Cricetulus griseus: one gene and its partner. The protein of the gene in region 2 purifies or fractionates together with the protein of the main gene of each other region. This does not show direct contact. Links are inferred from orthologs where the notes say so. Each region holds a gene or a part of one and is shown on either strand. Other genes may lie near its edges.

What was found.
Region 1: the proteins of Ttc1 (region 2) and Vapa purify together in Homo sapiens (affinity purification with mass spectrometry; 5 studies listed by BioGRID and IntAct, counting the BioPlex papers as one, with this or other methods). This does not show direct contact. The link is inferred for Cricetulus griseus from reciprocal best matches to the Homo sapiens genes TTC1 and VAPA.

What each region holds. Positions count from the first base shown.
Region 1 is NC_048595.1:454,539,617-454,543,271, reverse strand, and holds part of Vapa (vesicle-associated membrane protein-associated protein A), read left to right. Parts: intron 1-726; coding exon 727-849; intron 850-3,655. UniProt on the Homo sapiens protein: Endoplasmic reticulum (ER)-anchored protein that mediates the formation of contact sites between the ER and endosomes via interaction with FFAT motif-containing proteins such as STARD3 or WDR44.
Region 2 is NC_048600.1:58,395,940-58,399,594, forward strand, and holds part of Ttc1 (tetratricopeptide repeat protein 1), read right to left. Parts: intron 1,745-3,655; coding exon 1,708-1,744; intron 943-1,707; coding exon 794-942; intron 1-793.

The sequences.
Region 1 (3,655 bases), on a different chromosome or scaffold from region 2:
TGATATTTTCCTTATTAATTAAGTGTATATATTTAGTGTACTTGCTCTCTACAAACATCTGATAGTAAAATACTTTCTGCAAAAGCTTTTGCATTAATGACAACAAGGGGTCCGAATGGAGCAGGAGTCAGGAGCCTTCTGTATTTCAGAGTACATGCTACTTTTGTTGAGACAGAATAGATTGGATGTCTGTTAAATACTATTTTGTGCCAACCTTGTTGAGTTACTCTATGTTAACTATACTAAGAGGACTTGAGGTAAGTTGGGAACTGTGGATTTACGATAGGCTAACCAGAGTGTTAATCAGTCTTTGGGTTTTAATGGCCTGCTGTGTGTTTGGGAGGTGACGGGGCCCTGAGAATAAAAGAGGCCTACAGATCATTAGCAGTTTTTAGCTTTCAAGGGAAAAATGTTCACGTCAAGTGTTATCAAAGGTAAGAGAACATGAAGCTGAATATTTTTCAGATAATGACAAGTATGAGTTGTTTTTGTTTTTAAAGTATATACATTTAAGTGGAAGTATGCAAAAGGCCATACCTAGTTTTGTGTGAGAAATAATACGAAAAGCCAGTTTTGCTTTGATGTTCTGTTTCTTATGCATTATTTTTATGGAATAAGATGTCAATGTTTTACAGGCTAAAGCTATTTGTGTTAGTCATTCCCAATATCATACAGGAGAAATCAGTTTGGTATGAATCTGAGAATATTTTTCCCATGCTACCTCAGGGTAAAACTCCACCAGGGATTGCTTCAGCTGTCACTTCAATCAGCACCGTCAGCAACACAGTTGCAACACCTGCCAGTTATCACATGAAGAATGATCCCAGGGAGCTAAAAGAGCTGAAGCAGGTTTGTCATAGGAGCTAACAGAAGTAGGCGTCTACTAGTGTTAGTAAGTTAATGTAGATACCTTACCTAAGGAGATAAGTAATATTGAGTGTATTAAAGGTTAGAATTTTAAAAAGCCTTTTTGAAGCAATATCTCATGTTGCCTAGATTGGCCTCTAAACTCATTGTGAAGCCAAGGATGACAAACTTCTTACCCTCCTGCCTCCACTTAGAAGTGCTGAGACTGCACCTGGTTCTGTGTTGGGGCTGGAGAGAGCCCAGGACTTCTGCATGCGGGCAGCCTACTGACTGTCACCATCCTCAGCATTCACACTTGAAGCTGATTTTAAAATTACAATAGGGCTGAAAGGTACAGGGACAGCTCTGCTCTGAAACAATGGTCAGTGGAGTCACAGTTGGACATAAAAGTGAACACTGTTGAGTTCGTGTGGCTTTTCCCTTGAACGAGATTTGGGGAGCATATGCTGAAAATTGAATTTGTAGCTTGTTTGAATTAGCCTAGAAGGTACATAGTAATTAGTGAGAGTGAGAGCTGGCAAACACTGCTTTTCAACAAGCATTTGTGTTTGCATAAAGAAAATACAAGAATAGTAACCTTTATTTACCTGTAATGCCCTGGGATTTAGAAAAAATTTTCTGACTAAAATTGAGGCCATAATTTACCTCTGCATGTATATCGTTGAATGCTAATAAGGTTAGGGTATCTGAGTTTGTTGGTAGAATGGGTTCTGTGTAATTCTTTTAAGCATTTATTACTTACAGGAAAGTTCAGAAATGTTTATACGTTCTTGTTCTTCTGATTTGACTTAGAATAGGATATACATAAAAGAAGGCTTTAAACATTTTTAGATTTCATTTTACATGTGTGGGTGTTTGCCTACATGTTGTGTGTATGCACACCACTTGTACCTTATGTCAGTGGAGGTCAGCAGAGGCATCAGGTCCCCTGGAACCAGGGTTACAGATGGATGTGAGACACCATGTTGGTGCTAGGAATCAAATCCAGGTCTTCTGGAAGAACAGCCAATTTTTTTTTTTTTTTTAAACAGTTGAACCATCTCTAGCCCCCTTACCAAGGCTTTATTTTTTATTTTTTTCAAGACAGGGTTTCTCTGTGGCTTTGGAGACTGTCCTGGAACTAGCTCTTGTAGACCAGGCTGGCCTCGAACTCACAGAGATCCATCCTCCTGCTAATAAGGCTTTAAAAATACCTTTCATTAGCTGAGTGCATTGGTGCAGTTGATGTACACTAGGGAGGCAGAGACAGGCACAGAACTCTCGTGAGTCCAGGGCTAACCTGGTCTGTATAGCTAGTTCCAGGCTATCTAGGACTGCATGGTGAGACCTGTCAACAAATCTTTTATCTAAATTTTTAATTCTGTTTGGCCTTATATTTGGAATTATTTTTTTGTAATCATGGGCCTAGAGAAACCATGCATTTGCTGTTAGATTAGGAAGAAAAAACATTCAGAGAGCATTGTTGTTCAGATACTTCAATTCACAGATTAAAACTTTAATTCTGACAACATAGCCATACACCGTCTTTATGTATTGACAACCCTTTACTCAACACAGTGATGAAAATGTCCTTTAGTTCCTGTCTTCACAGAATGCATTGCAAATGCTTGTAGATTTGACCTTGACTTTCTATGTGTAGTCCCTAGCTCCTTTCTGATAGCCCCTACAAAGTTAGTACAGTGGAAATCTCTGTGTGGGGCTACCGCAGACAGGCAGAAAGAATACAGTGGTGGAGAATGTATGGCATACAGTCTTGACACTGTAGCCTATTCTCACCCGAGGTGCTAAGGTTGGCTTATTTCATGGTCCTAGTCCCCTGTCTGCTGGGATTAATGGTGAGCATTACACCCCACATTTATTTGGGACTTTAATTTTTTATTTTAAAGTCATTAGAATTCCCCTCTCTCCACTACTAGCTTCATATATATCATTCTGTAGTCAACACTGGGCCAACAGTATGATTTTCTTCTGCATTTTTTGCTCCTGTACTTGGGGTTGAGCCAATGACCATTATGTGTGTGAGGCAAATGCTCTGCTGCCCAGCACTGTCTTCGTTGTTAGGCAACACTTGAGGACTCGTCTGTTGTTGAGTACTGCCTGCCTTACAGAGGGAGGCACATGCTTTCCCCTTTGAAATTCAGGTTGGGTTGTGCAGGATGGGGTATGAAAACTCAGTTTGAAGTGAATTTTAATTATTGTCAAGAAAATAGAGTAAATATTTTAGCAAAATATATCAGGTACAGACTTTTTATACTAGAGATGGACTTGGTTGGACATTAGGGAGATTGCGGTAAAGAACAAATGTCAGCAGGAGAAACTCAGAGCAAATTGAGGTAATTAAGTCTCTTCACACTTGAAAAGTGGGAAATGTGCGGGCAGGTCAGGTAGTCAGGGTTGTGCACTAGAACCCCTTGTTGCCCTCAGAAAGTACTGGCACGGGCAGCTTCAGGAAGAAGACTTGGTTTGAGGAGCAGTGCAGTCTAGCACCAGTAGCTGGTAGTCTGCAGGCAGGAGACAGCGGTGAATGCTGGTGCTCATTGCTCTTCCTTTTTTTTTTTCTGTTGAGGACCCGCCCATGTGACGGTGCCACTCACTCACTCACTCACTCACTCACTCACTCACTCACTCACTCACTCACAATTAGGGTCTGTTGCCCCATCTCGATTAACCCAGTATAGAAAAGAAAGAATTTTGCAGCCCTAGGTGATTCTAGACCTGTCTGGTTGACAGCATTAACACTGTAGTCCCATTGGCCACCAGAGTGGTTCTGCACAGTCTCTGATCCTGG
Region 2 (3,655 bases):
AACCCTCCCTCCCCGCAAAATAAGGGGTGGCAAGATGATGAGTTTGAGATCAACTTTAGTTAGAGTGAGACACTATTTCAAACAGACAGACAATACAAAAGCATAGTTCAAAATCACCCATTAACTCCATTTCTAGGGGATCTGATGCTTTCTTTTAACCTCCACAGCCACTGAGTACCATGTGGTATACATACTTACATGCAGGCAAAGCACTCATACACACAAAGTAATATAAAATTTTAGAAGACACTCACTAAACCATGTGTAACAAAATATGCCTGATACAACAGAGAAAAAAGCTTATGCAAGTCATTTATTGTTTTTGCTTAATTAATTTTTTGAGATAGGGTCTTTCTATATAGTCCAGCTAGTTCCAAATTTATGTTTCTTTTGCTCCAGTGCTGGGATTACAGGAGTGCGCTGTCATGCTGGTTCATGTCACTTTCAGAGTGGAGATCAAATGGTACATGGTCCCAATGAGTAAGTAGCCATCATAAAGATCTATCTCCCGTATATTTGGTAATCATAAAAATAGAATTTAGTTGTAGGCCAAAAGACTAAAAAGTCACTGAGTACAAAGCAAAAGAAACAGATTTTTTTGGGGGGTGCAGGTAGCAGGAGAGAGACAGAGGAAGGTCTCTAATACATAGCTCTGGCTGATCTGGAACTTGCTATATAGTTCAGGTTGGCTTTGAACTCACAGAGATCCACATGCCTCTGCCCCCTGAGTGCTGGAATTAAAGGCAAGCACCACTGTACCCATCCCAAGAAAATACTTTAAAATTTGTTTTACCATACAAGCTTCTCTTGCTTGATGTATTGATGGATCTTTTTCTAATATCAATTTATAATCTTCCAGTGCTTCATCTAGTTTGTCTGTTTTCTCATACAACTCTGCTCTCCTCAATATTGCACGGATGTAGCTGGGGTTTAACTGAATTGCTAAAAAGAAAAGAAACTGTCATCACAAGAAACGGTCCTATGTACCTTTGGAAGAGCCCTCATTCATTGCTGCTGGCGGTGCAAATTAATACAGTTACTATGGAACTCAGTTTGGAGATTCTTCAAAAATTTAAAACCAGAACTACCATATAACCCAGCTATTCTATTCCACTCCTAGGCATAAATCTAGAGAGCTCCAGAGATAGTGTTTACTGCTAGCACAGATAGGGAACCAAGCCCATTAACAGACAAATGGGGATTTAAAATGCAGTACATATACAAAGTGGAATATTATTCAGCTGTAAAGAAAACTTGAGGAAAATGAATGGAATTAGGAAGTATAATATTAAGGGAAGTGATTCAAACTCAGAAAGAAAAAAAAACTCTATGTTCTCCCTACACATAGATTCTAGCCTATGATGCATACATGTAGATACCTAAACAGCTGTGAGCGTGAGTTCAGAGACTAAGATCCTCAATGAGTCACAAAGACAGGTAATTTGAAGGCTATGGGAGGTAAATTCTGTTCCACACTTGAGTTCTGATGCCAAGGTAGCTTCAAATGTTTTTACATATTGACTACATAATAGGCTGAAAATCCACTTGAAAGCATGCTTACCCTAACATGATGCCCACACAGTACCTCTGAAAATGTCATCCCATAAACTGCTTCTTTAAAAGCCCCAGTATGAGAGACTCGCCTGAATACATATCCAACTCTGTCTGTCTCACTGAGGCAATATTTTTAGTCAACAGAAGTTTTACCTTTGCTGCAGTCATTGATGGCCATTTCCTTCTTGTCCTGTAAGGAAAGATGACATTAACATATTGTATTCCTCTAGTTTCATCTCAAGGGCCAAGCTCCCATTACTATGAGCTGATCATCAGGGTTGAGTATGAAGATAAAGAATGTGGGCTTGGAGAGACTGCTCAGTGCTGAAGATAAGAGCACTTGCTATTCTTGCAGAGGACCTGGGTTTGGTTACCTCTACATGGCAGCTTTGCTGTAATTAGAGTTTCAGAAGTTCAGATACCCTCTTCTATCCCCTGAGAGCATCAGGCTTGCATGCATATGGCATATATACATACATGCAAGCACTCCATACACACATAAAATAAAAATAAATATTAAAAAAGAATGCTGTTCAAGGAAATCTCATGAAAATACATGTTACTTCCAATATAAAATTCAAAGTTAATGTGAGCTCGTCTCTGAAAGACTCTTGGTAACAAATGTACAAGCACTTTCTTTGCTCACCTAAGATGCTGCAAGACAACTTACATTAGAATGTCAACAGAGAAAACTCTGTAGTCAATAAACAAGACTGACATACGGAATAATGAGCCAGTCTTGTTCAGTAGCTAGCTGCTACATTATCACATCTAAAGTGGAACTATCGGGTCCATCTAAAGGGACACTGTCTGTTACAAACCTTATCTTACCCACTGATAACAGAAATATAAACACATTAAATAATGCACCTGATTTATGGCCTGATTCTAGAAACATAGCTATGTCAACAGAACTGGATTCTGGTCCCAGCTCTGACACAGCCACGTTACTTTTCTTCAGTAGGGCTTAGTTTCTCATGTCATTTACTAGCAGGATGAACTGAATGCTGGATAACATGCCTTCAACTTTAAATGTCTTTTGTTCAGCTCAGTAGTACAATATCATAGAAAGAGGTTGGTTTATATAACTGTTCTACAACTATAATGATCACTTTAGCAAACACTGAATATTTTACAGAACACTCTAGAGCAGCATCTAAACTGTGTTCTAGGATGGCTATGTGACTGGTTGTTAAGTATGAAGTATTCTTTCAGGGTCATGGAAGTTCTGGAACTAGATAGTAGTGATGGTTGAACAACGTGATTGGGGAAGTACTTCTGTGTATGTGTTTGTCTTACTGGATGATAAATAAAGTACTGTTTGGCCAATGAGGCAGCAAGTTAGGCAGGACTAGGAGTCAAAGAGGATTCTGGGAAATGTAGTAGAGAAGTGGTGATCCAGGCAGGAAGTGACATAGCAAGGAGACTCATATTTAAGCAAGGAAAAACAGGAAGTCCGCCCCTTTTTTCCCTTCACCTCCTCCAGTGGTGCCATATGATCCACCGGCAAGGGAGGGTGCCAATGGAAGGCGTCCGATAAGTCTTATATATAGATTTATGATAATTAAAACTGAGCTAGCAGATGAGAAATCCTACTCATTGGCCAAGCAGCATTTGTACCTAATATAAGTCTGCATTATTTTGTCCATCCACATGTCGGGCAGAACTCGGGCGGCTTTGGCGGAAAGATTTATCGTAACAAAGTTGTGAAAATCTTTAATTGTATACTGAAATTAGTAAATGTACAAGCATGTGCAAATGCCCTGGGTTCCAGCCCCAGCTTCACATAAAACCAGGTGTGTTTGAGCACACTTTTTATCCCAAGTTGAGTCCACTCTGGGCTACAAAGGAAGACTCTGTCTGGTTGGCTTTTATTTTTCCCCCATATATAAAGCTATTGTATTTTAAAAATGGTTAAATATTTTGGTGAGGGATATCAGTGACTGTATATGGAAATTATAGACTTAAGCTGCAACTTAACACTGACAAGTTTAAAACACCTGTTCATGTGAATGAAGAGAAGGCTTTAGAAGGGAAGGTCAGAACCATTACTTTAGAAGAAAAACAGCTAGTTCAGCATATCTTCTTTTGCAAACTTGGA